5 linked regions of the Macaca mulatta genome follow. The protein of the gene in region 1 interacts with the protein of each later gene in a biochemical or structural test. Links are inferred from orthologs where the notes say so. Each region holds a gene or a part of one and is shown on either strand. Other genes may lie near its edges. The genes, in order: NFKB1, MAP3K8, ELF1, BCL3 and DPF2.

What was found.
Region 2: the proteins of NFKB1 (region 1) and MAP3K8 form a complex in vitro, tested with the Homo sapiens proteins (2 studies listed by BioGRID and IntAct, with this or other methods). The link is inferred for Macaca mulatta from reciprocal best matches to the Homo sapiens genes NFKB1 and MAP3K8.
Region 3: the proteins of NFKB1 (region 1) and ELF1 form a complex in vitro, tested with the Homo sapiens proteins (2 studies listed by BioGRID). The link is inferred for Macaca mulatta from reciprocal best matches to the Homo sapiens genes NFKB1 and ELF1.
Region 4: the proteins of NFKB1 (region 1) and BCL3 form a complex in vitro, tested with the Homo sapiens proteins (2 studies listed by BioGRID). The link is inferred for Macaca mulatta from reciprocal best matches to the Homo sapiens genes NFKB1 and BCL3.
Region 5: the proteins of NFKB1 (region 1) and DPF2 form a complex in vitro, tested with the Homo sapiens proteins (2 studies listed by BioGRID). The link is inferred for Macaca mulatta from reciprocal best matches to the Homo sapiens genes NFKB1 and DPF2.

The regions. Positions count from the first base shown.
Region 1 is NC_133410.1:111,965,885-111,971,721, reverse strand, and holds part of NFKB1 (nuclear factor NF-kappa-B p105 subunit), read right to left. Parts: intron 3,804-5,837; coding exon 3,602-3,803; intron 3,142-3,601; coding exon 2,972-3,141; intron 2,644-2,971; coding exon 2,541-2,643; intron 1-2,540.
Region 2 is NC_133414.1:31,776,625-31,783,170, forward strand, and holds the start of MAP3K8 (mitogen-activated protein kinase kinase kinase 8), read left to right. Parts: upstream 1-2,111; 5' UTR 2,112-2,857; intron 2,858-3,115; exon of another isoform or gene 3,116-3,227; intron 3,228-5,739; exon of another isoform or gene 5,740-5,970; intron 5,971-6,132; exon of another isoform or gene 6,133-6,186; intron 6,187-6,546.
Region 3 is NC_133422.1:20,378,737-20,384,573, forward strand, and holds part of ELF1 (ETS-related transcription factor Elf-1), read right to left. Parts: intron 3,243-5,837; coding exon 3,159-3,242; intron 2,444-3,158; coding exon 2,251-2,443; intron 710-2,250; coding exon 260-709; intron 1-259.
Region 4 is NC_133424.1:57,227,410-57,234,019, reverse strand, and holds the start of BCL3 (B-cell lymphoma 3 protein), read right to left. Parts: upstream 3,774-6,610; 5' UTR 3,738-3,773; intron 3,411-3,737; 5' UTR 3,311-3,410; intron 2,745-3,310; 5' UTR 2,679-2,744; intron 157-2,678; 5' UTR 1-156. UniProt on the Homo sapiens protein: Contributes to the regulation of transcriptional activation of NF-kappa-B target genes. In the cytoplasm, inhibits the nuclear translocation of the NF-kappa-B p50 subunit.
Region 5 is NC_133419.1:9,048,798-9,054,118, forward strand, and holds the end of DPF2 (zinc finger protein ubi-d4), read right to left. Parts: intron 5,137-5,321; coding exon 5,024-5,136; intron 2,507-5,023; coding exon 2,312-2,506; 3' UTR 1,190-2,311; downstream 1-1,189. UniProt on the Homo sapiens protein: Plays an active role in transcriptional regulation by binding modified histones H3 and H4. Is a negative regulator of myeloid differentiation of hematopoietic progenitor cells. Might also have a role in the development and maturation of lymphoid cells.

The sequences.
Region 1 (5,837 bases):
GATGGACAGCATGATTACAGCGACTAGGGTGTACCCTCAGATTAGGGTCCTCACTGTTCAAATTTATGCATGACAATGTATTTCTCAGCCCCTTTTCCTGGACACTCAAAATAGCAAAGATGCTTGATATCTAGTGATACCATGGCCAGTTTCATTGCTGGGTACAGCAGTGCCAGGGTTCTGATCTTTAAATAAACAAACCTGCTAGGATGTATAATTATTGAAATATTTTGGGAAATCTAGTCTGCTCTTTAGCATCCAGCAAAAACAAAAACAACAAACAAATAAATGAAACACCAAAGTAACTCAAAGACTAGAGCTAGAGTTACTTCTCAGAGGCTTAGATTATTTTTATGAGTGTTTAGCTTGATGTCTAATGATGCCATTTTCGAGGGAGGAACTTGTTTTTATCTTGCTGGGAGAACATCAGATGTGTCAATATCAATAATAGAAGAGTACTTAATGGGAAGCAAAGGAGGATCTTCATGCTATTTCTTGATTTTACTCTCCCAGTTCTGGCCTAATCTATGAGGCAATAAATGTAATCCCACCAAAAAAACCATGGAGAAATTAAGATGAACAATTTATAGGACCAAAGACTGGAGGGATGAGCTATCCCTTAACTGACTGTTTTTTTTTTTTTTTTTGGTGAGTGCAGTGGCGCAGTCTCGGCTCACCGCAACCTCTACCTCCAGGGCTCAAGTGATTCTCCTGCCTCAGCCTTCCAAGTAGCTGGGATTACAGGTGCCTGCCACCACGCCTGGCTAATTTTTATATTTTTAGTAGAGATGGGGTTTCACCATGTTGGCCAGATGAGTCTCGAACTCCCAACCTCAGGTGATCCACCCACCTCAGCCTCCCAAAGTGCTGGGATTACAGGTGTGAGCCTCCACACTCAGCCTTAACTGACCTTTTCCATGACATTAAGATTCGGGCTTGGTTTTCATCTGAGTTTCTTCATTTATATATCAGAGAAACTGTTACTTGCTATTCCTTTCATGGGATTCTGAGAATTCAATATAAAGCATTTTTAAAAGGGTTATAGTTTCTTTTTCTTTTCTTTTCATTTATGTATTTTTTTGAGACAGGGTCTCATTCTATAGCTTAGGTTAGAATGCAGTGGTGAAACTGTAGCTCACTGTGCCCTTGCACTCCCAGGCTCAAGCGATACTACTACCTCAGCCTCCCAAGTAGCTGGGACTACAGGCGGGTGACACCATGCCTAGCTACTTTAAAAATTTTTTAATAGATATGAGGTCTTACAATGTTGCCCAGGTTGGTCTCAAACTCCTAGTGCAAGTGATCCTCCCACCTCAGCCTCTCAAAGTGCTGGGATTACAGGTGTGAGCCAACCCATCTGACTGGTTATAGCTTCTTCTTGGAAGGCATTTAATTATAATCAGTGTCTTCTAAAACTATTAATAACCACTGCAATCAGAGTTTCTTGTTCAAGAAAAAGCTCTATTTGTTAGAGTTTTTTTTCCTCTTTTTTTTGGTATTTTTAAAAATTGTTCTCTCTTTTGTTAAAAGAGAAAAGAAAAATACGGTGTTCCCAAAGAAAAATTCCTCTGTCTTTAATTTGCTCTGTTTTCTTGAATTTATGTAGCATTTACCTTCTAAGTTAAAAGAAAACCTCTAAAGTAAATCAGATTTGTCAGGGCAGGCTTCAGATGCCAATTTCATTACACATATTTTGAGGTTCTAAATATGCAAGGCACTGGAAATTCAAAGATGAACATGGATAATTTTCTATACTTCACAGGACTAGAGAATTAAATGGAATAACATCTGCAAACCTGTGAACAAAATAGGAGAGAGAAACATAGTAGAGAGAATCAAGTCTTGAAGTTCACACTGCCCAAGTGTGATTCATAGCTCTGACACTTACTGGAACCCTGAAGTGGGATCTGGTAGTCTCTCTAGTCTGCTTCCTTGACTCTAAGATGGGGAATAATAACGGTATTTGTCACAAGTGGTGACTGGGCATTAAATGAGACTGTGCACATAAAGTGCATATCATTGTGCCTGGGACACGGAAAGGTCACTAAGTGCTAGCCATTTTTAGTGCCTTCCACGTAATGGGTCCTAATACATGGCCCATTTTCTTTTTCCTACACTTCAATTTTTAAGAGACATTTCTTTCAAAATGAAGTCTTTAAATGATTTCTTTTACCAATAATCTTTTTCTTCTGGGGACTTCTGATATGATCTGAGACTGATACCACTCAGAATTCCATAAGGAATCAAACTCTACTTTGAAAGACCCCTTGTCATGGGAGTCAATCTAAACAATCAAACCCCAAACAAACAGATGAATCAGAAAGTAAAAACTAACATGACTGTCAGGGTAAAGCCCAAGAGTACTAGTCCAAACAGTGCCTTATGGCAGATAAAATGTGATCTGCCATATAACTTTTATTTACCCTTGCTTTTCAGCAGTAGGTCTGTGGCTTAAAGAAGGCAACATGGCTGCTCTATTGAAGTTGGGTTTGCATTCCTGGTAACATTTTTTATTAATGACCGCCAGGTCACCACCTTACCTGCTGCTTTGAGAAGAGCTGCCAGCCTGGTGGACCCTCTCCCAGCTGCTATATGCAGGGGTGTGGTTCCATCGTAGGTAGTACTGTCCACATGGGCATCACCCTACAATCCAGCCCACACAGGAAAGCGTTAGTGGAAGGTTCTTTTGCCCTTCTGTCCCCACCTCCCAGTGTGCATGGCCCCTTGGGTCCTATTACTAGCCCAATTACTACTTTGGGCTGGCTCTGTCTTTGAAGATATCCCCAATTAGAGATGCCAAGCAAGAGAGTGGGGGAACATCCAAAGGTGCTACTCTGAAGCCCTCCATAAGTGTTAAATAAGTAGAGTTGATTATAAGGGAGAACAGCAGCTACTGACTTCATTCTTCGAAAAGATTTCCTTAAATCTCCCTCAGGAATTTAATGGAAAAGCAAATAAGTGCGCCCTTCACCTCCAGGAGCAGGCAGCCTGCCAATGAGATGTTGTCGTGCTCCACAGCCAGGTGCAGTGCTGTGCGCCCGGACTTTTGCTCCTGAGCATTGACGTCGGCCCCAGCGGCCACCAGCAGCAGCAAACATGGCAGGCTATTGCTCATCATGGCTAGATGAATGGCATTCAGACCTAGAGTCCAAGCAAAGGGACAGTCACAGGATAGGATGGCTGGCTCACAAGATGGCCCTTGGTGAAGCTGAAGGAAATGGCAAAAACTGAATCATGGGGAGGGACAGCAAAGGTACTGTAAGTCGATTGTTCTGCTTTGAAGACCCACAGTCTCCTATTATGTTCTCCGGAGACACTGAACATAAACAAACATTCTCTGAATAAACGACACTTTGTGTGCTTCAAGATGAATCTTTACTTAGGCCTCTGCTTTTTCCTCCTACTAACTATTCTAAATCACCTTTAAAAAAATTAGCTTTGGTGAGCAACAGAAATGCCCAAAAGAGATGATGAACTCCAGGTGACTAAGGAAAGCACTTTTGGGTACAAATCAAGTAACACACATTTATCAAATACCTAGTAGATATTTAGAAGGCGGAGAAAGTTAATCCCACACCAATGATGTGTGATTGTCTCTTACCGTCCCCATTGGGGTGGTCAAGAAGTAGTGCTGCCTTTTTGTGCTTGAGTAAGATACTGAGAACTTTATCATGTCCTTCTTTGGCAGCTAGGTGCAAAACAGAGTTACCCAAGCGGTCCAGAAGGCTCAGGTCGGCCCCAGCCCTCAGCAAATCCTCCACCACATCTTCCTGCTTAGTGATCACTGCCAAGTGCAAGGGCGTCTGGAAAGTGAAGGGCAGGAGATTCACCAGTCAGCAGTGAACACTTACTTACAACTTACAGCTTGGTAGCTGTCACTGCAATGGGTGCGGTCATACTGCAGGAACATTTCTCATTCCCAGATTAACTCCTGACCTTGGCACCCAAGTTATCCTGTTCCATACCATATGCTAATGAAGTACATACACTGTACTAACACTTAGCCATTCAATAATTCGGGTTTTAAAATTTTTATTTATTTTAAATTTAATTGACAAATAGTAATTGTATATATTTATGAGGTACAATGTGATGTTTTAATATGTTTACAACATAAAATGATTAAATCAGACTAAGTTACAAATCCATCATTTCATATAACTTTTTCTGTGGTGGGTTATTTTCATATTTACAAGTCTTAGTAACTTCTTGTTTCTCACTAAAACCCACTGATTGTTGATTTTGAGCACACCTAGTAGTAAATTTAGTTTTCTTAAATTTCTGGTAGAAGTTATCTTCAGCTGATTTTATATTAACAAATCAAAATAAGGCTATATTTTCACTGAAGAAATTTAAATGAAGTACTCAATAGAAACCAATTAACAAAAGTGCCATGATTCTATGCTGACATGGAAACTAAATTTACTAAATTAAAAAATACTGTCCCATGAACTGGCTCCTGAGACTACTCAATATAGCTTTCCTATACCTATTTCATAAAAGGTATTATAAGCTTCTAAATAACATAACCAGGATAATACAAGTATCTCACCAAGGGGACTCAGATGAATAAAAAAGGTGAGCTAATGATACCTAATTGGTACTTCAGTAGTCCATTTGACTATCCTGCCCACAAGGTATTACTTCGATGAATGCAAATAAGATGTTTTGCAAACTGTGTGTTTTCAAAAATGAGTAAGACAAATACAATCACAAATGTATCCTTCAAAGAACTGAGTTCAATGACAGAGAACAGCAATGTATCTTTACACAAATCAGTTTATTTCACAGGAGCCTAACTATGACATCCAGCCAGTCTTGTGACAATTTGCCTAAAATTCCCTTTTCATTGAGCAGTTACTGGCTACAGCAGCAGGTGAGCCACCAACCTCCTAGCTATATAAGTGACCACAGCACATGAGAACTGGCAGGATGAATGATGTGAGGGTCATCTAAATCTCAACTACAGTGATTATTTAATATATCAGACCAAGACCCTTTTTTTTGCCAAATTATTACTCGCCCTTATTTCTTTCATTTTCTAGGACTATCACCCTGGCCGGAAATGAAGTGATGCCCTCAAAACTTTAGATATTGTTGCCAAGAGCCTTCTTCTCAAAAATAACTAAGTCAATAGAAACTGTTTACTAATCTGTGTTTTCTGAAATGCTACTTGGGGAGACAGGAAAAGGAAAGAGAATGAGAATGTGAAAAAAAGGATCTGAAATTGTAAGATAGTATACCATTCAGGAATTAGAAATTATCTGTAGTTTGAATTTAATTTAAGAAAATGAGTCTGAGGTTTTTTTTTTTTTTTTTTTTTTTAATATTTTCTTCCACAGTCCAATCAATGGTTTTCCATGATATAAAGCTTCTAGATCTTAAATCCAAGGATAATATCTTAAACAATTACACCTTCATGCTATGGCTGTGGGCATGGGGACTTACACAGACATTCTGGATAGCCAAATATACAAATGTCCCAGCAACCCAACTCTTGTAGATGTATATAGGTAAAATTCTGACACAAATCCACAAGAGGACATAAATAAGGAGAGTCACTGCAGTATTATCTACTGAGGTAGGAAGTTGGAAGTTGGTTAAATGTCTACTACTAGGAAACAAGAATGTTAGAGGTGGAAGATCCATACTAGATTCTCTTCAGGAGCTGAAACAACAAACTAGCTGTACACAGAACTGTGTGGATAAGCAGCGAAGGCAGAAATACAGTAACATGTAGCATAATGCCACTTACGTATTAAAAAAATATATGCACGAAGAACTATACAGATACACACAAGTGTGTGTAAAACTGGTGAAATCTGATTAAGATCTGT
Region 2 (6,546 bases), on another chromosome or scaffold:
AAGGCTAATAAGGTCGTTCCCAGAAGATTAGGTGTGGTTTTAATGAGCTCACTCAAGGCGGGTGGGGAGGGGAGTGGTTCCATGGTTCTATTTTTAAAACTCTTGTAAAGATCATCCTTTGTTGTCTAAACACCGCAGAAGAGAAAGAGACGTCTCCCAGTTTCTCAGGTTACAATCAGAGGTAACAACCTGTGCTAACCCGGTTTCCAGCGAAAAGGCCAAAAGTGTACTAATAACTTCGGCTTCAGCTGAGACTGGGATAACCCGCTTGAGCCAATGCCAAATTCCACCCATCCGGCGCGCAGGCGAGCGGGGCTTCTCCTCCCCAACCCTGGCCCAGGCTGCTTCTGCCGGGTCAATGCTGCCGCGTTGGTGGAATTCCCTCGCTCCAAGATCAGAAAGGCGGAGGCTTCAGGAAGTGGTTCTCCTCTAGGTGCAAGGGACTGCCTGGATATTTGGAGGGAATGGCAAACGCCCTGCTTCATGAGGTGAATGAATATAAATTAAATCGCTCTCGTATTTAAAATAACTTCGGGGATGACAGTGTCCAGTCAATCGGCCCTCGATGTTGGATTAGCTACCTGGGCTTGTTGTCTGCGAGTTAAGGTCCTGCAAAAAGTCCCTAGTTTGTCACCTCAGCTAACCTACCTCCTCCGGCAATTCTCTCGGTACATCCTCGGGTTGGAATTGTAATTCATTTTCCATAGCAGAAATGGGGAGGGCTCTAGAGAAGGTCCAAGGCAAATCGTTTTAAAAATTTTTATTTTTGGCCAGGCGCGGGGGCTCACGCCTGTAATCTCAGCACTTTGGGAGGCTGAGGCGGGCGGGCGGGGGTTTGAGGCCAGCCTGACCGACATGGAGAAACCCATCTCTACGAAAAATACAAAATTAGCCGGGTGTGGTGGCGCATGCCTGTAATCCCAGCTACTCGGGAGGCTGAGGCAGGAGAATCGCTTGAACCCCGGAGGCGGAGGTTGCGGTGAGCCGAGATCGCCCCATTGTACCCCAGCCTGGGCAACAAGAGCGAAACTCAGTCTCAAAAAATTTTTTTGTTTTATTTTATTTTTTAAATTTGAGACAAGGCCTCGCTCTATCGCCCAGGCTGGAGTGCTGTGGCTCAATCATAGCTCACAGCAGACTCGAACTCCTGGGCTCAAGGGATCCTCCTACCTCAGCTTCCAAGTAGCTGGGATGACACGCGTGAGCCACCATGCCTGGCCAAGTTTTATTTTTATTTTTTGTAGAGACGGGGTAGCTATGTTGCCCAGGTGGTCTCCAACTCCTAACCTCCAGTGATCCTCCCGCTTCGGCCTCCAAAGCGCTGGGATTACAGGCGTGCGCCACTGCGCACGGCAATTTAGAAACTGCACCAGGAGCACGTACCTGGGCACTGTGAAGAAAAGGGCATGGACTTGAAGTGTGACCGCGTTTGAATCTGAGTTGTGCCTGGGACACCCCACCTCCTGGGCCGTAGGGCAGAGAAAGAGGATGTCCTCCTCACATGGTCCCTAGCTCTCCGCGCTCTAGCCGAATGCCTGGCTCCTAGTGGATGCTTGATACGTGGGAAATGTAGGGGGAGGGGGTGGCGGGGTATTGGGAATGTCCCGCGGAGTGGATTTCGGGAGAGTGGCGCTTTTCTCTAGAACTCTCTTCCGGTTACACCTGGAGTAAACGCTTGCCACTCAAGAAGGAAAACCCCAGATGAGCAGCTAGGACTGAGGGGGTGGGCGGGAGGGGGGAGATCAGTACAGGTACTCTTCCTAATGAGGCGGTGCTACAAAATAACCAATTTTAATAAAGACTGCAAAGAAGAAAACCAGGTTCTGCTGTCGGAGTGCACAGGCCCCCAGCCGAGCGCCCAACACCCAGGTTCCGGGCCCACCCTGAGGCAGCCTCTTGGAAATCTCTAAGCTGGAATGTGTGCGTGAGCCATTGCCCTCTTTGTGTGTGAACTTGAAGCGAAATCTGGGCGAGGCGGGGCCGTGCTGCTAGTAATCGGACCCACAGTGGCGGTTCAGAGAAGCCCCAAGCTTCCCCAGCCTCCCGCAGCACGGCGGGGAGGGCACGAGGCGCCTCTGTCCCCACCCCAGAGCACGGGGCGCGCGGCAAATGGCCTGGTGACCGCTCCGCACCCCCCCCCCTGCCCGCCCCCTGGGAGCTTGCTCTCCCGCCGGACCCTGGGACTCCAGAGAACTCGGAGGGCGCGAGTACACTAAGATATACGACCTTCCCTGGGGACCGGGAAAGGGCACAACTGCCTCTTGCAACTCCGCCACCAGGACGCCTTGGGTCACCAGGCCCGGGGGAAAACTCGTCCACATCCCAGGCTCCCGACTCGAGCCGCAGCTCACGTCCTGCGCCCCTCCCCGCGTGCCGCTCTGCTCCTCCCTAGTCCCGCCTCCAGCTCCGCCTGGGCGCCCAGAGGGTAAACGAGGGGCGGCGGGGACCGCGAGGAGGGGGGGGTGGACGCGGAATTTCCCAGCGCGGGGGCTCTGGCTTCCCCTGCAGCTAGGCAGTCTCTTTCTGTTTACGGAGAGAAAGGGGAAATGGAAAAGTCGGGGAGGCGGTGGCTGGCGTCCGCTGCGCCGCCCCTGGGCCGGCTCAGACGCCGTGAGTCAGGGGCAGAGCACGGCGGTCTGGACGTGCGGGCGACGCGGGGCTCACTAGTCCGCTCGGGTCTGGACTGCGCGCCACGCTCTGGGGTCCGGCGCCCTGGCTCCTGTTTCTGCCGCTGCTGCCGCCGGATCCCGGTGGCCCGGCGTGCCCGGCTCGCACGGGCCTGCAGCCAGCGTCGCACCGAACCTTCGGGGGTCCGCGGCTGGAGCGCTTGGCCGGCGTGGGAGCGCCAAAGCCGCAGGTAACCCAGGGTTGGGGGTCTCCGGCGTGTCTTTCGGGTCGCGTCCCGCCTGGGTGCCCCGGGGATTCCCATGCAGAAATGGAGGGTGACCCCAGCAGAGGGGAAAACTCTGGCGTGGGAAGAGGTGGGGGCGTGCCCACAGCTGCGCTCGCGGGTCGCCGGCCGCACCAGGCACAGCTGGAAAGCACCTTGCGCAAGGGTCTCACGGGGTGCAGACTCGCGACTCCTCCCCCTTCCTCCTCCTTCCCGGATCCGCAGGGCCCGGGCAGTGCTGGTCCGGGCAGTGCGCGGGGAAGCGGGGACCCGCTGTCACTGCGCCTCCCGCCGCCGACACCGCCTGGACGGCCGCGCTGTCCCTGCCCCAGACCCGGTGAGTGCAGCTCGGAGGTTGGAGGACCCGACCCTCCCAAATGCTGGGTGCTTTGATAATTTACAAGCTTTTTAGGCTCCCTTGACTTAGAGAACCAGGAGGAAGGGAGTGGGAGTGTGGGCTGGCGGAGCCCAGAGACTTGTGAATGGCTGGAACTAAATTCAAGTTTGTAACCTGGACTGTATCCCGTGACTAAAGGAGTCATAGCAGAACACGAAGGCTGGGCTTTTGGTCTAAGAAAGAATACTAGGAGAAAAAAAAAAGTTATTTTCACGGAAGTTGTTTTCGAGCGATAATGCATGATCAGGACTGACTGAAATTTTTCTAGCTCTAGGCGGAGAAGGACGCCCAGGGATAGTCCCCATAGTTAACAGGGGAAGCCACCCGCTGCCTTTAAGAGTGAAACGTTGCGATGCTTGTCTATTTCACTTTGGGGAAGACAAGATAAAATGCTGCTCTTGATAAAAACGGGGACAGAAAGGCTCTTGCAGTTGCTTTACATACTTGTAGCCTGAGTCGTGTGTGCCAAGGAACGTGTAATCCACTTCCAGCTGACGCCCCCAGCTCTCTCCGAAGGATTGAGGTTTGTGTGCAGGTCGTCTGGCAGATGGCCCATGAGGACTTTGTCGTGTAAAGAAAATGGGAACGTGGAGGCATCTAGAGGTTTTGAAGCAGAGTGGCGGTCCTTCCTTCTATACCCCTGAAACGCATAATTCCGGGGCTTTTTGAGAACAAAAACATAATCAGAGATGTGCCCTGAGGGAGAATATACTATTTTGGCAGGATCTATCTATCTATCTATCTATCTATCTATCTATCTATCTATCTATCTCTATCTATCTATCTATCTATCTATCTATCTATCTATCTATCTTAGTATAAATATATATACACAATTTTTTTTTTTTTTTTTTTGAGACGGAGTTTCACTCTTGTCGCCCAGGCTGGATTGCAATGGCGCGATCTCGGCGCACTGCAACCTCCACCTCCACCTTCAAGCGATTCTCTTGCCTCAGCCTCCTGAGTAGCTGGGATTACAGGCGCCCGCCGCCATACCCGGCTAATTTTTGTGGAGACAGGGTTTCACCATGCTGGCCAGGCTGGTCTTGAACTCCTGACCTCGAGTGATCCACCCTTCTTGGCCTCCCAAAGTGCTGAGATTACCAGCATGAGCCACTGCTCCCGGCCTAAAAAAAATAATTTTAAATGGGAAATAACACAAGGAATAGTCATTCTTTGTGAGGCAGAAGCATATGCTGGTACGTTGGCCATTTTCATTCACACTTGCCAGGAAACACTCACATTTTGTTTATGTATGTGGAGGCAGCCAAGAGTATTATGTTAATGTTTAGGAACAGAATTTCCTCGTGATTTTATTGCTGATTTCTGAAATAATTCAGTGTAACTAGTTTTGACTGTATTTGCACATCTCTCCAATTCCAAAAGCTGGCATAATTTTCTGTTTGGTTAGGAAGCAGGAATTTTATGAGGACTTTTATTGTAAATTGTGTCAAGGGAAAAATCATCTTATACTAAACGTCTTTATTGGCAAACTAGAATACCTTCACAATCTTAACTTTCTAGGTGGCTACAGATCATGAATAACTCAGAAACCATTAGCTTATTGTGTGCTTCTTTAAGGCTGGAAAGTGCTGAGGCTTTTTGCAGGAGCAGTTAGCAGGCGAACTGGTCAGCAGGGTTTCTGGGGAGCATAGATTTGTGTGACAGGGGCCCTGTGTTGCTAAGGAATTAATGCAGGCACTGAGAAAAGTCTCAGTGTCAGACACTCCTCCACCTCCCGGGTCCTGCTTCCCTCCCTCTCCCCTTTCCAGGCAACTCACAGTTTAGGGGTGTGGTTGTGTGTGTTTAAGCTCTTGGGTTTTACATATAAATGCTTGAGACTTTCTGCAGGATTTAAAAACCAAAACCTTGTATTACCGCTCTTTTAGGATTTGTCTTTTAGAATCTCCAGTCCTCACAGGAAAACCCCCCAATTAACAAAATAAAAGAATAAAAAGAATACTACTACTAATTTTTTTTTTTTTAAAACCTCTAAAATTTGTCTTCCCGGATCAGCAGAGTGAATTTGAACTGTGTGGACATTTTTCCTCTTTCTTTCTTGAGTCGTGTTAGTACTGAGAACTTTTTTTTTTTCTGTCAAGTCATCCATTTGATAAATAAGTCCAGGAGACTTGGATCCTTTCAACCCCTGAGGCCCCAAATTAGGCTGTTTTTGTTTTAACTTCTGTGTTTCCAGTAAATTCGACAAGCAGAAACTGCAACTAGATGGCTCAGTAAAACCGATGTCAAATGTTCCTCCATTAATCTAAGAAGTTCCTTTCCTAACTCAGTAGACTCCAAGAACCTGAATCACAATCTCCCTCAAAGATGTACAAGATCTCGGGAGGGGAAGCTGCCCCCTCACTCTAGATTTCACTGTGTTGATAACAGCCATCAAAGCATTTCATGGGTTTCTGCCTTTTTTTCTCTCTCTCTTTATGTCTTGTTTTAGATACAATCTTCTTACTGCGAAGAAGCCAGGGGAATAGGTAGCCACATCTCATTTGCAGATAAGAAAGGAAGCTAATTCAGTATCTGCAAAGCCAGGAGTCTGACTCAGTACTTTTCTCTCTCATGCATATAAAGCAGCTAAAAATGACACAGCTTATTTACCATGCCCCTGACACTGCACTGAGCACTTTATGAGCTTGAACTCTTTTAATCCTCACGACCACTTCATGAGGTAGGTGCTGTTATTACTTCCATTTTACAGATGGGGAAAATTGAGGTTGAGAGAGGTTAAGTTACTTGCTCAACGTCATGCAAGCAGTAAATGGGAGTGTGGTGGGGAGGTGATGTGATTTGACTCCAAGCAGTCTGAGACCAGAGCAATGTTGGATTGCAGGATGCTAGACCACTTTCCTCAGACGCAATTCATACGTCAGAAAACGACCATCAAGTAAGTGAATGATGACACTAAATTGCATGGTTCTTTTGTCAAATGAAATGCACTGAGAGGCAGATGGCTGGGTCATGCATGCAGGTGGCTCTGCAGTGGAGCATTTCCTGGAGCTTTGAAATGAAGCTCCAGGTTGATCAGAGATGCGTGGCTTTAGCCCTGAGTGTCCTGTGTGTTAAAGGCTTCTGCCTTTCAGAACTTGAAATACCTTTCAGAAAGAGGCTGTGCTTTTGGGAGTGCAAACGATGATTTAAGTAGACCAATGTGCCTTGAAATTCTCTTAGATCTCTTAGAGCTTTTGTCTTTTCTCCTTCAGAACAGAGTTGTTCTAAAATCCTGAGTAACAACATCAGTTTTTAC
Region 3 (5,837 bases), on another chromosome or scaffold:
TCCAGTTATACAAAGGTATAGTGAACTGTACTTAAACTGACAGAATGTCAACAATGTCAAAATGTAAATAAAGGGACCAGTGGCATAATTAGAGGACTGACGTTATATATACTGCTCCTGAAAAATCTGGTAACCAAGAGTTCTAGCTTGAAATCTATATACTTTTATTTTCATTTCTGAATCCTGACCCACTTAACAAATAATGTCTCTGGTCAGAAACATATTGAAGTGATAAGCATCAGTAGTTTGGTTTTCTCACCTAATACTCTGAACAGAAGAATTTAATGTTTCATCCTGCATGGTACTGGTTCTAGCTGCTTCTCCCTCTGGGACAGCCTGTACTGGCTGTACTACATGAACAGTCCGGAAGAGCTGGGTAGGATATGGAGACTGCGTGGGCTGCACTGTCCTCAAAACTTCCGACGGCTGTGCAACTTCCACAGGATCTTTGGGTTTTGCAGCTTTAGAATTCCCTGGTTTTAGAACTGTAGTGGCTCCTCCTTTTACCCCTGGACTTGAAGAGACTCTCGACCGGCTGGCTTGATTCCTATTTGAAGTGGCTGATGAAGATAGTGATGGATCTGAAGACTCTATGCTGGAACTTGGATCCTCATCATTTATATATATAAGATCTTTTGGCATTTCTTTAAACTGATACACCAGGCGCTGACCTTCCACTTTTGCCAGAATACCCCTTTGGTAATAGTACCTATTCAAAGCAGACAATTTCATCAATATTTTATTCAATCAAACATCAATTAAAATATTCAACAAAATCAAATTTCCCTAATCATAAACAAAACTTTAAAGTTGAATCAAACTAATGAGAAAAGAATTTCTAAATAAAGGGCAGTTATTTCATATAAGATAAACATACATTTATGCACAGATAGAGATAAGTTCTTATTACCAACTAAATCTAAAACTAATGCTGATTGGGGGACTGTTGATAGAGTATGTGAAATCTTCTGGTCTTTCATTTTTCTTCCTCTCTCTGCTAATTTATTTACTTATTTATTTAGAGACAGAGTCTTGCTCTGTTGCCCAGGCTGGAGTGCAGTGGCATGATCACAGCTCACTGCAGCCTTGAACTCCTGGCCTTAAGCAATCTTCCCACCTCAGCCTCCCAAGTAGCTGGGACCACAGGCGCATGCTACCACACTCAGCTAATTTTTGCATTTGCAGAGACTGGGTTTTGCCACGTTGCCCAGGCTGGTCTGGAACTCCCAGGCTGAAACGATGCTTCTTTCTCAGCCTCCCAAAATGCTGGGATTATAGAAGCGAGCCACCACACTCGGCCCCTTTCTGACAGCTTGCCAAGATCATCAAAACTACGAAAAGCCTCAATAAATTGTTTCTCCTCCGCAGCTTTCTAGAAATGTTCCTACTAGGCAAACTGTATCAGTTTAAATTTGATTCAGTAAATGTAATTGACTTTTGTGTATAAAACTTAATGATATGCAATAGAAGTGATCCAACTTTTTGTCATCTATTTTAATAAAATCAAGAACCTAAAAAATGTATGTTAAAAAATCCAAAAACTGTAATTAAAGGATTATAGTTTAAGATTGCCAAATTTAATATCTATATCTATCCCCTAAGTCATTCAGATCATTCTTCTTTTCAATAAATCTGTCTCAAATACATGCATATCTTGAAAAATAAATGACAGAGTCACCAAAAAATGAACTAAAAGTGAGCTTAAGAATAAAATGTTACGCTTGTTCAAAGTTCTCATGATGTCTAATAGTACTCTTGAAGCACTAATTTATTCTACCATAATAACTAACATATCATACCTGCAATTCATGTTTGAGAATGCACCCTCTTTTTTTTTTGAGACAGGGTCTCACTCCGGTTGCCCAAGCTGGAGTTCAGTGGTGCAATCTCGATCACTGCAGCCTCAACCTCCCGGGCTCAGGTGATTCTCCCACCTCAGCCTGCCGAATAGGTGGGACCACAGGAGCACATCACCATGTCTGGCTAATTTTTTGTATTTTTTAAGAGAGACAGGGTTTTGCCATGTTGCCCAGGCTGGTCTTAAACTCCTGAACTCAAGCAATCCACCAGCCTCAGCCTCCCAAAGTGTAGGGATTACAGGCATGAGCTACCGCACCCGACTGAAAATGTACCCTCTTATTATGTACTTGCATTACCACTGTTGGTGCTTTGCTGAATTTAAGCTTGATATTTTTTTTTAGGATTCAGGAAATGATATTCTTAACAATAAAATACCAAAACTTCGCATACCTGAGTGCTCTTCCCATGGTCTCATAATTCATGTCAGGTTTGTTTTTGTGCTTCCCCCACAACCTGGACACTGCTTTAGAATCCACCAATTTAAAAATGCCTTTCTCTCGCTGGGTCCACTTGATGTATTTAGGACAAGTAGCCTTGTCCTGGAGCAGTGCCAGTAAAAACTCCCAAAGATAAATTGTGTTTCCTGAAACAAAAACAATTTCTTTCTAAATGACCAAAATTTCATGTAAAAGACCATCATAAAAGACAACTAAAAGTCTTGGAAGTGCCATTCATATTTATACAAAAACATTACATAATTCAGTTAGTATTGGTGACATAATTTAGTTAGTATGGGTGGTATAATGGTCATACTTTTCAGCATCTATAAAGATCTTTTTATTAGTCCCATATAAAATATGTGAACAAAGCAATCTTGTCATAAGATTTGTGATGAATTAGGAGAAAGTACTTTGAGATAATTTTTTTCTGCCTCTTTGTGAACTCTCTCCTTTCAACAGTTGTTCTCTTTAGATTAGAGCCAGCAGGTCAGCCATAACAGTTTTCTTCAAATTTGGGCAACAGTTATAAAAATGCTTGAATTTCAAGACAACATGTTAAAGGGCCTATGAACTGAAAATCTAACCTGGTTAAATTCTTCCAAGAGTCTCATTATTACATGAAAAGAATAGATTATTTGGACAGGTAAGTGAAAATCACTCAAATGAGTTTCTTGGTCTACTTTATTATCAGTTTTCCTTTAAGAATTTGGCAAATGTATCTAATACGCATGTGGCAGCAATAAGATCCATTGCAGTATATCAAGAGAGCTGGTGGTTTCTAGTTGTAACAGGCAGGCGCTATAAAGCAATCTGAGTGTTACTTGACCTATAAGTATTACACGGAAATTACAGTAGTACCCTTTCCATCTTTGTTTTTCTTCTTTACAGATATGTTTGGCGTAGTGGCTGGGGAATCTGGTCGTGGTGGTTTCGTTTTTCTCCCTGAAATAAAAACAGCTCTGCATAAATATTTGCCTTCAAAAGTGACAAAAAATGGACAATTCAGCTATTTGGTCAAGTGCCAAATGTTTTTATACATGGGTCACATATACTGGTCTCTTAAAATGCTGTTTGCTAAAAGGAAAACAACTTTAATAAAACTTGGACATTAATGCAGGTTAAACCATAAACACACTTAGGTAAGAAATGATACCTCTGACACCTCAGTTTATATCTGTAAAAATGAAGTTAATTAAAAATACTATAGCTTGCCTTTGAAGTACCCATACTGGTAGCACTTTCTTAAACTTTCGGAGAATGCTTTTGACATTGGTAGAACATGCGCTCCAAAAATAAGCCACATAGCTCTGTCTGTCTATTGATTATACCAGCTTTTTAAGGTAGGAGAAGTGGATTTTTAGCTTTTTTCTCTATTAAATAATTTCTGTATACAGTTAGTTCTCAAGTATAAGAAACTTCCCAAACTCTAGAAATACAGAAAATATGTGAGGCAAAATTTTGGTGAACCACATAGTTAAATACTATCCTTCTGTGTATTTCTAAAAACATCTCGTTTTTCTGTACCTTTCAATTCACAACAAGCTTAATAGTTATCTTACCCGCCATCAATGTCTAAATAAGTCCATCCCAATAGTCTCAGAGTGGGGTCGATCAACTATTCTAAAGCCCTATTTGTGATCTTCTTTTGCCAAGTATCTAGAACCACGGCCTAGTAGCACCACTGCCTTGTATTTAGATTTAGATCATGATCATGCTGTCTGAACATACTGCCAATCTATAGGTGAGAAACAATGAAGAGTTACTACCTCCTACCCTTGAGGCTGCCACTCTGGTTTGGATTACTGTGGTGAATTCTAAGTAAATACAATATAGGGCAGGACAATAACTTAGAAAAGCAGAATTTTACAGCTAAAAAAAAAATCACAAGGCCAGTGACAATCTATCCCCAGAAACGGAATAGGAAAACGCTTCTGAAGTCATTTGGGTGAATGAGAGGAAGGAAGGAAAGTGTCAAAAAGCCCACTCCTCAGTCTCTAAGATTGCCAAATGTATGCTAGTCAGCCAGGTATCCCGACTTTCATCACCGCAGACGTCTGCAGAGAACCCTTCAGGAGACAGATTCTTCTGGCTGTGTTCATGATAACAAGTATCAGAAGCCAAGACTTCAGTAACTCCCACCTTATTTTATGCTATTAATATATACCAGCTTAAAAAAAATAGATATCGTCTTTATTTCCACTACTTTCCTCCACTAGCTTTAGTCACAACAGATGCTGCCAGTAAAAACTCCCAACCCAGTATCCATCCTCTCCAACATCTTCCTAATCATTCAAGGTGGCAATGTACAAAGCTTCAGACGAATTATATCTTGGTTATAGAATTTTTGGTTGACAATGATTTCTTCTCAGCTCTTTGAAAATGTCTAATTCTTCCAGTCTCTCCTGGGAGCTTCTAAACTGCCAATCTAAAAAAAAAAAAAAATCAGTCCTCTTGAAGTAGTGTAGTTTCTCCCTGGTTTGCTTCTTTTTTTTTTTGGAGCAGGGAGAACTTGAGAGAGGGCTTTGGTGTTCTGCATTTTTACCAACAACGCATTTAGGCCTAGATTTATTGTAGCTGACCCACTCAGGATTTACAATGCTGAGGATTAATGTGATTCTGGAAAATTCTTAGTCACTATCTCTCGAATATTGTCTCTTCCTCACTTTTCATATTCTCTGTTTCTGGAACTTTGATTAAACATGTAGACCTTTTCATTTAGTTCTCCATGTCTGTAACTCTTCCATATTTTTTAATTCACACCAAATCTACTGGAGTTTGCTAATTCTTTCTTAAGCAGTGACTAGTCTATGTTTTAATCCACACATTATGTTTTCAATTTCATTTCATTTTTTTGTTTTTGAGACAGAGTCTCACTGTGTCGCCCAGGCTGGAATGCAGTGGTGCGATCTTGGCTCACTGCAACCTCCGCCTCCTGGGTTCAAGCGATTCTCGTGCCTCAGCCTCCCAAGCAGCTGGGATTACAGGCATGTACCACCATGCCTGGCTAATTTTTTTTTTGTATTGTTAGTAGAGATTGGGTTTCACCATGTTGCTCTCTAATTCCAGACCTCAGGTCATCTGCCCACCTCAGACGCCCAAAGTGCTAGGAATATAGGCATGAGCCACTGAGCATGGCCCAATTTCATTTCTTATTTCTATAAATTCCATTTGGTTCTTTATCATACCAATAGTTTTTCAACATTAAGTAGAATATTAGTCTTTTATTTTTTAAGCAGCTTTGTTGAGGTATAACTGACTTATAATAAACTACATATGTTTGGTGTTTATAATTTGACAAGTTGTGACTATGTATACTAAAACCACCACTACATTCAAAACAATGAATATATTCATCACCCCAAAAGTACTTTGTGCCCTTTTGTAATCCTTACATCTCGCCCTTCCTCACCCTGCCCAATCCACAGGCAACCACTCATCTGTTTCCTGTCATTATAGATTAGTTTGTAGTTTCTAGAGCTTTATATAAATATAAAACTGACCCTCAAACAAAACACAGCTTTGAACTGCACAGGTCCA
Region 4 (6,610 bases), on another chromosome or scaffold:
ACAAACACATCCGATTCATTCACTCTGCTAACAGGTTTTTCAGGCCATGCCCCGGTGTTGACCAAATAAGATTCCTGCCCTTGGGGAGTCACAGACTCTTCCATCCATCCAGGAGACAGTCAACAAGACAAGGAAAATACAGCCAATGGCAGGTATCTGCTATGGAGAAAAATAAAGCTGGTGAGGGAATGAGGGAGATGGAGGGTAGGAAGTCGAAGCTGTTATTTAAATCCAGCGGCCAAGGGAGGCCCTCCAAGGAATGACGTTTGGGGCTAAGACTTGAGGGAGGGGAGGGAATGAACCATGTGGACATCTGGGGGAAGCGTGTTCTAGGCAGAGGGAACAGCAAGTGCCAAGGCCCAGAGGTGGGTCGGAACGGCTCTTTGAGGCCAGTGTAGCTGGAGCAGAATGAGCTGGGGGAGAGTGGAAGGGAGGATGGCGGGGGAGATGGTGGCAAGGAGATGGATCAGGATCTTATGAGCCACTGTAGGGACGTAGGCTTTTACTCAGAGGGAGATGGGAGCCATGGAGGGTTCTGGGCAGGGGAGGGATAATCTGACTTTTTTTTTTTTTTTTTTTTTAAGATGGAATCTCACTCTGTTGCCCAGACTGGAGTGCAGTGACGCTATCTCGGCTCACTGCAACCTCCGCCTCCCAGGTTCAAGCGATTCTCCTGCCTCAGCCTCCTGAGTAGCTGGAATTACAGGCATGCGCCACCACGCCCAGCTAACTTTTATATTTTTAAAGTAGAGACAGGGTTTCGCCATGTTGGCCACGTACCATGTTGGCCAACTCCTGACCTCAGGTGATCTACCTGCCTCGGCCTCCCAAAGTGCTGGAATTACAGGCATGAGCCACCACGCCCAGGCCAGGTTTCAATTTAATTTAATTTGTTGTTATTATTATTGTTTAGAGACAGGGTCTTACTCTGTTGCCCAGCCTGGAGTACAGTGGTGCCATCTTGGCTCACTGCAGCCTCGACCTCCTGGACTCAAGCAATCCTCCCACCTCAGCCTCCTGATGACTTAGGTGTTAACAGGATCCCTGTGGCTGCATGTAGGGGAAAGACAGGTCCCTTCGGGCACGCGGCAAGGACCCAGGCAGGGAGACCCGTGAGGAGGTGACTGCATGGTCCAGGCCGTCCGTGATGGTGGCTGGACCAGAGTGGGGACTTTTTTTTTTTTAAGAGAGAATCTTGCATTGTCACACAGGCTGGAGTGCAGTCGCGTGATCTTGACTCACTGCAGTCTCCACCTCCCGGATTCAAGTGATTCTCATGCCTTAGCCTCCTGAGTAGCTGGGATTACAGGTGCATTCCACCACACCCAGCTAATTTTTGTATTCTTTAGTAGAGACACCACCATGCCCAGCTAATTTTTGTATTTTTTGCAGAGATGGGATTTTCACCATGTTGCCCAGGCTGGTCTCGAACTCCTGGGCTCAAGTGATCTGCCTGCCTTGGCCTCCCAGAGTGCTGGGATTACAGGCATAAGCCACCATGCCCGGCCAATTTTTTTTTTTTTTTTTGAGATGGAGTCTGTCCGTCGCCCAGGCTGGAGTCCAGTGGCGCAATCTCAGCTCACTGCAACGTCTGCCTCTGGGGTTCAATCAATTCTTGTGACCTCAGGTGATCCACTTACCTCAGCCTCCCAGAGTGCTGGGAATTACAGGTGTGGGCCACCACGCCCGGCCCCACATCTTTACTTCTTTCGGTGATGGGGGCTTTTGGAGAGGTACAGGGAACCAGGAGAGGGAGGACAGAGAGGACCAAGGGGACCGGGCCTGCCCTGTTTGAGCTGAGACCTGAAGAGTGCGGGGAAGTGTTTGAAGGAGGTGAACAAAAGGCTTTATTAGGAAACCAGAAAGGAGGCTGGGCGCAGTGGTGCATACCTGTAGTCCCAGCATTTTGGGAAGCTGAGGTGAGAGGATGGCTTGAGCCCAGGAGTTTAAGACCAGCCTGGGCAATGAGTGAGACCCTATCTCTAAAAAAAAAAAAATTAAAAAATTTACCCAGGTGTGGTGGCATGTGCCTGTAGTCTCAGCTACTCAGGAGGCTGAGGTGGGAGGATCACTTGAGCCCAGGAGGTTGAGGCTGCAGTGAGCTATGACGGCGCCACTGCACTCCAGCCTGGGGCCAGAGCAAGACCCTGTCTTTAAAAAAAAAAAAAAGAGAAAGCAAGAAAGAGAAAGAAAATACAGGCAGCGAGTGGTCAGGCTGTGGCTGTGGTACAGCACTTGGTTTTCTCCTGGGGGCACTGGAGAGCCATGGCAGATTCTGAGCAGGGGTCAGGATTGGGTTTCCAAAGACGCCTCTGACTGTGGTGCGGGCAGGGAGACCAGCTGTGTAGCAAGACACCAGGTGGCCTGGGTTAGGAGGTGGGTCAAAGAGGGAGGGGTGAAGGTTACCAACCATAGATTTAGGAGGCAATTTTCTTGGAAGGAAAGGGTGGGGTGCATGCTGGCTTGCTGACGCCACTATCAGCCACTGTCCCAAGGTTTTCTTGTGCGTGAACTCATGGAGCCTTCACCACCACCCAGTAGGGATCCTCATTGCACAACTGGGGAAACTGAGGCTGAGAGAGACGCGCTCGATGGCCCCAGATCTCACACAGCAGGTTATAGGAGCCAGCATTCAAACGCCTGGAGTCTGACTCCAGAGCTGGGGCGTTTTCACACACCTGACTCCTTAAAGCTGGAGAAGCTGAGGCTCCCAGTGGGGGTGAAGTTCCAGGTTCAAGACCACACTAGAAAAGAAGAATTGAACCCACACCTTACCACGGGACACGGTCCTGCCCATCCCCTCTGCTCCCAGCAGCGTGAGAGCTCGACCTCCGGGGAGTCCCCGTTCTGGGTTGGGCGCCACTCCTCCCTCCCTATCCGCTTTGCGCCCGAGCTGTCTCCGGACTTTAACCCTGGGCTGCCACCGGTGGCTGGCGACGCTGCCGATAAGGGGAGGTGGTTGGTGCAGAGGCCAGCAGGGCAAAATTCCCCTACTCCCGGTGCCAGGGGAGTTACCCAGGGCAGGGGCGGGGGCGGGAGAGGGTGGGGGCAGAGCAGCCGGCGGAGGAGGAGGGGGAGGCATCTGCAGCTCGACAGAGAAGTGGTATTTGCTTCTCTGTGCCTCAGTTTCCCTCTTGGAAAAATAGGCATGGTTCCTTCTATGGATGTAAGAAGGACTCAGGAACCTTTGCAAGGGCGGAGGAGTCCAACCCTCTGGTCTGACTGGGAGACAAGGTGTTCCCCAATCTGATGGTGGGGGACAAGGTGGCCCAGCACAGTGAGAAAAATAAGTAAACTAAGGAGCTCTCACCAAATCCCATGAGGGAGACAGGATTGTCCAAATCCAGTGAAGCAGATAAGAAGCTCCAGCCCCCTGCAGCAAGAACGAGTGTCCAGTCTGTATTTCCAGTCTGTCAGGGAAGGTAAGGAGCAACATTATGATGTGTGAGACAATGCATTTCTAATCTGATGGGGGAGATGGGTAGTCCTAGTCTGATGGGGGTGTTGAAGGGCTCCCATGCCTTCTGGGAGAGCTGATGAGCTTCCAAATGAATGATAGAAATGGGGAACTCCTCAAACTGGTAGGGAGACAAGGAGTCTGCTAGTCTGATGAGGGAGGTAAGAATCCCCCTGTCTGAAGTGGGAGCCAGGGTGCTCCAGTCTGAGATTCCAAAGTGAGGAAAGAGACGTGGCTTCAGTCTGAGATTCCAAGGTAAGGAAAGAGACAAAGAACATACTCGCTGCAGCTCAGCCAGCTCCTTCCTGAGCCCGGGAGTCAAATGGGCCCAGGATGCCTGGCCAGGGAGCCAGGACCTAAAGACAGAGAGGATTTGCTCTCCTGATCCCGGGGCAGTTCTGTCCAGCTCTGGGCCTGATCTACTTTTGGCAAACAAAGACCTGGCTGGTGGTGTACGGGCACCACCTAGCGGTTGCCATGGGCACGCCTTCCATCTGGAACTTGGGGAGAGCGGCGCCTTGGAAGACCAGAGAAGGGCTCCTTGGACTCTCTCCCTGGGACCTGGGTCCAAGTCCCAAACTACCCCCTGAAACTGGGTTCTATGCGTCACTCCATTCACCCTGCACATGGCAGCTGGGGGAGTCTCTGGGAAGTACAAGCCTACCCCTGTCTCTCCCTTGCTCACAACTCCACGGTGGCTCCCCGGTGCCCTGGGAGGAAGTCTACACCCGGCCACAAGGCTGACTTCTTCTGAACAAGCCTCTGCTTCAGTTGAACAATGAGTAGTTTCTCAAAGGTGTCATATGCAAAACTTACCTTCAGGCCTTCGCACAGGCTGTTCCCTCTGCCAGGAGCACCCTTCCCTGCCTCTTCCCCAGCATCTCTCCTACTCCTCCTTCAGGTCTTGGAGTAGATGTCTCTGCACTCGTGAGCTCCCTGGTCAGGGTCACGGTCTGGTGGGGCTGTCGTGGTCACTGCTGTGTTCCCCTGGGGCCTGACACTGACAATGCACTCCAGGGAATGTTTATTGAATGAATGAATGAATGCCAAACTAAAGAGTTTGCCAGGGCAGTCGTAGGAGATTTTAATCAGGGCCAGGACATGGTTGGATTTAGAAGCCCCTGGGTTCCCACTTTTTTTTTTTTTTTGAGAGAAAGATGGAATCTCACTTCGTTGCCCAGGCTGGAGTGCAGTGGTGTGATCTCGGCTCACTGCAACCTCCACCTCCCAAGTTCAGGCAATTCTCGTGCCTCAGCCTCCCGAGTAGCTGGGATTGTGGGTGCAGGCCACCACGCCTGGCTAATTTTTGTATTTTAGTAGAGACAGGGTTTCACCATGTTGGCCAGGCTGGTCTTGAACTCTTGACCTCAGATGATTCACCCACCTCAGCCTTCCAGAGTGCTGGGATTACAGGTGTGAGCCACTGTGCCTTGCTGGAAGCCCCTAGGTTCCCTCTCAACCCTGGGCTTTTGTACATACTCTTCCCTCTCCCTGCACTATTTATACCTAGTAACCCCCATTCATCCTCTAGGTATCAGATGAGCTGTCCCTTCCTCCAGGAAGCCCTCCTTGACCCCAGTCTGGGTCAGGCACCTGCTCTGAGCTCCTGCAGCCTCCTGGGCTCCTCCATCCCAGGCTGTGAATTCTACTGAGTCATTATTACCTGGGGACAAGTCTGCCTTCCCACTGGATCTGGGAGGGCAGGGCTGGGTTCTGTTCACCCTCTCTGCCTTCTCCTCTGAGCTTACAACATCTGCCAGGACCTAAGTTCAAATCCAGACACCCCCATCTTTGGAGATCCTTAGGTGAGTGTGGGCTTCTCTTGGAGCCCCTGCTTTCTCGTGTGAAATGTGGGGAGGATGAGAAGCGTGCATGGAAAGCCTCCCAGCGCTGCGGTGGGGCAGTGAAGAGATGAGATCCTGAAGTCCCCAGCTGACCATGGGCCGGGTGACTGTGGGTGACCCACTTCCCCTTTTGGGGTTCATCTGGCTGGATGAATGGTAGCAGTAGCCCCATCCTGCCGGGACATTCTGGGAGGCCCGCCTGGGGCTTCCCGAGGTGGGAGGGTCAGGGACAGGCTGAGGGAAGAGGTGTCTGCTGGGTTAGGGGAAAACCAGCCTTCCCCATCATGAAACGGATGATGGGAGGGAAACAAACAAAGCTGGCTCCACCAGGTCGTGAGGGGAAGTTCGGGGAGAGGATGAGGGGGCCCCACGAGGCGGGTGAAAACCACAGTCCACAACTCGTCGCCAACTTCCCGCCTGGAGCCTGTGTGCCTCGGGTGAGGCTCCCTGCTCATTGGCCTTAAACAAGGCATATCTTCATTCCGACCTCCAACCCAGCCCTGCCTGCAGGCTCTGGCCTCAGAAATGGCAGCTTCATCTTTGCAGTGGCTCAGGCTCAAAGCTTGGAGACCCCTAACTCTTTTCATCCCTTGCAGCACAATTCTGCCCCCAACAGTCTCTTTCTACCTGATGGCCAGAGGGATCCTGTTAGAATCTGAATCAGGGCTAGGTATGATGGCTCACACCTGTAATCCTAGCACTTTGGGAGGCCGAGGCGGGTGGATCACCTGAGGTCAGGAGTTCTAGACCAGCCTGGCCAACATGGCAAAACCCCGTCTCTACTAAAAATACAAAAATTAGCTTGGCGTGGTAGTGTGCACCTATAATCCCAGCTACTCAGGAGCCTGAGGCAGGAGAATCACTTGAACCCAGGAGGCAGAGGTTGCAGCAAGCTAAGATGGTGCCATTGCACTCCAGTCTGGGAGACAAGAGCGAAACTCTGTCTCAAAAAACAAAACAAAACAACAACAAAATTAGCTGGGTGTGTTGGCACATGCCTATAATCCCAGCTACTGGGGAGGCTGAGGCAGGAGAATCACTTAAACCCCGGAGGCAGGGCGTTGTAGTGAGCCACTGCACTGCAGCCTGGGTGACAGAGCAAGGCTCCATCTTAAAAAAAAAAAAAAAAAAAAAAGAACCTGAATCCGAAGAATCTGAATCCGAACCCATCCAGCCTCTGTGGCTCCTACCTCACTCGGGATGATGGCCAAAATCCTCACCATGGCCCTCAAAGCTGTTGAATCCTTGTTCCTTTTTTTTTTTTTTTTTTGAGAGGGAACCAACCTCTCTCTGTTGCCCAGGCTGGAGT
Region 5 (5,321 bases), on another chromosome or scaffold:
CGCGCCCGGCCGCTACCTCAGTTTTAAGACTTGTGTAGTTTCACGAAAAAACACAAAATAATTGTTCCTTAAGAAAAACAATTGGTTCATTCTTTGTTTATTAATATTTACTATGGCTGAATTCTTCTAATTTTTTTGAATAAAATTAGTCCTTAATGCCTTGAAATGATAAGCAAAATTATACATATGTGCATGTGGACATTATTCTAGGGGAAAGGATCCACAGCTTTTATCAGCTCTTCAGAAACATGTGACTCAAAAATGTAAGTCCTTTCTAACCCAAAGGTCAATAAGGTTGGCAAACTTTTCTGTAAAGAGCCAGAGTGTTACATATTTTAGCGTTTGTGAGCCACATACAGTCTCATGCACATCTTTTTTTTTTTTTAATTCCCTTTATTATTTTTTGTCAAAACAAGAGTTTCCGCTCTGTTGCTCAGGCTGGAGTGCAGTAGCATGATCTCAGCTTACTCCAACCTCTGCCTCCCAGGTTCAAGCAATTCTCCTGCCTCAGCCTCTCTAGTAGCTGAGATTACAAGTGCACAGCACCACGCCCAGCTAATTTCTGTATTTTTAGTAAAGACAGGGTTTTGCCATCCTGCCCAGGCTGGTCTTGAACTCCTGGGCTCAATAGATCCCAAAGTGCTGGGATTACAGAGGTGAGCCACAGCACCCAGCCAGTTTTTAATTTTTTTTTTTTTTTTTTTTTTTTTTTTGAGACAGAGTCTCGCTCTGTCGCCCGGGCTGGAGTGCAGTGGCTGGATCTCAGTTTATTGCAAGCTCCGCCTCCCGGGTTTACACCATTCTCCTGCCTCAGCCTCCCGAGTAGCTGGGACTACAGGCGCCCGCCACCTTGCCTGGCTAGTTTTTTGTATTTTTTTGGTAGAGACAGGGTTTCACCGTGTTAGCCAGGATGGTCTCCATCTCCTGACCTCGTGATCCGCCTGTCTCGGCCTCCCAAAGTGCTGGGATTACAGGCTTGAGCCACCGCGCCCGGCCCAGTTTTTACATTTTAAGGGCATTTTTTTTTTTCAGGCTAGGCGCAGTGGTTCATACCTGTAGTCCCAGCACTTTCGGAGGCTGAGGCGGGCAGATCACTTGAGCCCGGGAGTTCGAGACCAGCCTGGGCACCATGGCAAAACACTGTCTCTACTAAAAATACAAAAATTAGCCGGGTGTGGTGGCATGCCTGTAGTCCCAGCTACTCAGGAGGCTGAGGTGGGAGGATTACCAGATTACCTGAGCCCAGGGGAGTGGAGGTTGCAGTGAGCTGAGATCATGCCACTCCACTCCAACATGGGCAACAGAGCAAGACACTGTCTCAAAAAATAAAAATTAAAAAGAAAGAAAAGGAAAGAAAAGAAATAGCTTGCAAGCTGTTTAAGCTGGCTGTGGCTGGATGTGGCCCATAGGTTGTAGCTTGTAGCTTGTTGACCCTGACTTAGAACCTAGAACATCTGATACTTCCAGGGGTTGCCCCTCAGCTGCCTTAACACTCCAGTGAGGACGCTCGGGCCCGCAGCTCTCCACCACCTCAATGTCCCACGGAACTTTAATAGGAAAGCCATTTTGTAATATAGATAGTCTGTATGATGGTTAAAAACAAAACATAAACACGCGACTTCTCCCCAAAGCAGATTCATAAACTGGGCCTGACAGAAGCTGAGTACTCCCCTGCAGCTGTTAAAGGACTCTCAGACTTTGTCAGTGGCCTCATTCTCTAGAGGGGTGACAGCAGTTTGACCAATATGTTACAAGTCAGCTTACATCACACAATGAAACACTTTCTCTTGCCTGTAATGCTGGCCCACATCCTTTGTGCACAGTAACAGCTCCTGGGCATTTGTGTTCTGAGTAAGCTCCTGAATTTCTGTACAGGAGGAGTTTATGCACAGAAATCCAGCTGGAAGGGGACTTGTGGAGATGCAACCAATTCTTGGTGCCACCACTGGTTTCAGTGAATAGCTTCCATAAACTTGGACCATTATTACTGTAAGTTATGGGAGAATTCAGGCTCCAAAGTCAAGTCCCTTCCCAATTCAGAAGGGGAAGGGATAGGAAATAAATGCTCAAATCCATCAAATTTCAAGAGTTGACTGTAGAAGCTTCACATCAGATAATCTACCACTTGAGTTTCCATGACTGGTTGGAAGAAAATAAATCATTCCTTCTGGGTGACTGATCTCGGCTCAGCATCTGCTTTCTTCTGGGCTGTGGATTTTCTGTTGTAAATGTAGCTGATAATGTGCAAACACTAAACCCTTTAAGTTGAAATGTTAGGAAGGCATTCTAAACTGAGCCAAGGCAAGGGGCTTTACTCACTAAGTTGGAAGAATATGTAAGTGATAACATAAAGAACATAGAACTCAGTATTTTCCAAGTAACTAATAAAATAATTGTTCTGAGTAAAAGATCTGGGCAACTTACCTTCAGGGGGCTCAGACATGGACGGGGTGAGACAGTACATGTGGTAGCCACGATCGCAGTCATCACAGAAGAGCAGCTGGTCCTGAAGTAGGCAAGAGGGAAGAGGATGGGGATTGAATGACTGATGTGCCTCAGGCCACTACAGGAAGTGGGAGGGCTTCTGTGACATGGCTATTTCCAAGAGGGGTAGGTAGCAGGTAAGAACAGATGCAGGAATCTTATGTAGGAACCACGCTGTCCCTCTCTACCGCAGATCCAGTCACTGTCATCTCTCACTTGAGTCCTTTCAGAGCTCCTAATCGATCAAATCGCCTCCAGTTTTTTTTTTTTTTTTCCTAAAGCCCAAGCTCTATAGGTATATTTTTTTGAGACAGGGTATTGCTGTCACTCAGGCTGGAGTGCAGTGGTGCAATCACAGCTCACTGCAGCCTTGACCTCCTGGGCCCAAGTGATCCTCCTACCTCAGCCTCAAGTAGCTGGGACTATAGGCACACACAACCACACCAGCTAAGTTTTGAATTTTTCTGGAGAGACAAGGTCTCCTTATGTTGCCCAGGCTGGTCCTCAATTCCCAGGCTCAAGCAATCCTCCCACCTCAGCCTCCCAAAGTGCTTGGATTACAGGTGTGAGACGCCGTGCCCAGTGACTATTTCTTTTTGAGAAAAGGTCTCGCTTTGTTGCCCAGGCTGGAGTGTGGCGGTGTGATCGTGGCTCACTGCAGCCTCAAACTCCTGGGTTCAAGCGATCCTCCCACCTCAGCCTGCCAAGCAGCTGGGGTTAACATGTGTGCCACCACACCTCACTAAGTTTTAATTTTTTTTGTGGAGACAGGGTCTCCCTATGTTGCTCAGGCTGGTTCTGAATTCCTGGGCTCAAGTGATCCTCCCGCTTCAGCCTCTCAAGTGTTAGGATTATATGCATAAGCCTCCATCCTTGTCCCTACAGTCTACCCTCCACACAGCAGCCAAAGTCTTCTTTTAAAAATATAAGACAAGGGCCAAGCGCGGTGGCTCACGCCTGTAATACCACCATCTTGGGAGGCTGAGGCAGGTAGATCACCTGAGGTCAGGAGTTCGAGACGAGCTTGGCCAACATGGTGAAACCCGGTCTCTACTAAAAATTAGCCAGGCGTGGTGGCGAGCGCCTGTAATCCCAGCTACTTGAGAGGCTGAGACAGGAGAATTGCTTGAACCTGGAGGCAGAGGTTGCAGTGAGCCGAGATTGTGTCACTGCATTCCAGCCTGGGTGACAACAGTAAAACTCCATCTTGAAATAAATAAATAAATATAAAATAAAATATAAGACAATGCCAAACATGGTGGGTTCACGCCTGTAATCCCAGCACTTTGAGAGGCCAAGGTGGGAGGATTGCTTGAGCTCAGGAGTTTGAGACCAGCTCAGCAATATGGCAAGACCCTGTCTCTATCAAAAATATAAAAAAAAGAAGCCAGGCATGGTGGTGTGCATCTATGGTCCCAGCTACCTGGGAGGCTGAGGTGGAAGGATTGGATTGCTTGAGCCTAAAGGGAGAGGTGGTAGTGAGCTAAGATTGCATCGCTGCACTCCAGCCTGGGTGACAGAGAGACTCTGTCTCAAAATAAAAAAATAAATACATAAAGAATAAATAAACAGCCGGGTGCGGTGGTTCACACCTATAATCCCAGGACTTTGGGAGGCTGAGGCAGGCGGATCACCGGACGTCAGGAGTTCAATACCAGCCTGGCCAACATGGAGAAACCCCATCTCTACTAAAAATACAAAATTAGTCAGATGTGGTGGCACGTGTCTGTAATCCCAGCTACTTGGGAGGCTGAGGCAGGAGAATCGCTTGAACCTGGAAGGCAGAGGTTGCAGTGAGCCGAGATCGTGCCACTGTACTCCAGCCTGGGCGACACAGCAAGACTCCGTCTCAAAAAAATAAATAAATAAAATAAATAAATACATACATAAATAACCATGTCACTTCCCTGATTAAAACCCTTTGACAGTGTCCTATTGTACCTAGAATAAAATCCAAGGCCCCACAGATCTGGCAGTGCTTGCCTCTCTCATCTCATCCCCCGCCATCCTCTCCCATGCCCTATCATTTGGCTTGTCCACTATAAGGCCTTGGCACTGGCTGCTCCTTTCCTGGGACTGCTCTACCTCCAAATCTGCTTGACTGGCTCCTTGGTATCACAAAATTTCAACACCAGCATCCCCCTCCCAGAAGAGCCAAACCTCACCATCAAAATAAATCACTTATGCAATTATTCTCTGCCACATTACTGGTTTCATTTTTTTCATGGCACATTATACAAATCTCACATCCTTGCTTATTGTTGTTCCTGTAAGAATGTAAATCTCATGCGGCAGGGACCTTGTTTGTCTTTAGTATCTTTAGTGCCTAGAACAGTGTCTGACATAAAATCAGCACTCAATATATATATTATCTGGCAACAAATCAGAGTTCTGACTGAGATGCTAGGGAGGGGCATGTGGCATGTAGGAGGGATCTTGCTCCCTTTTTAAAAAAAGAAAGCTCACTTTAGAGGGAACTGTGCAAACAGCAGTAAAAGCCCAGAAGGAGCCATGCTGAGGAGGGGGCGGGGATACACACGTCATTCTCAGAGGTGCCGCAGATGTTGCAACATTTGCACTCGATGCACTGCCAGCGGTACGTCTTCACTGCCGCCATCATCACGGGGGTAAACTGGAGGCAAGATGGATGCCCTATAGTGGGGGAAGTGAGTGAGACAGACAGTTGGAAATGCAGGGGGAAGAGAGGAGCTCCTGCTTGTGGCTACATCTTCTCTTGGTTAGGTAAAGTGAGGTGGGCTGGTTATGACAGCACTAGAGGCCAGCAAGCCAAGAGCCCCTTGGGGACTGGGCACAGCAGCAGCCTTCACGGGAGGCAG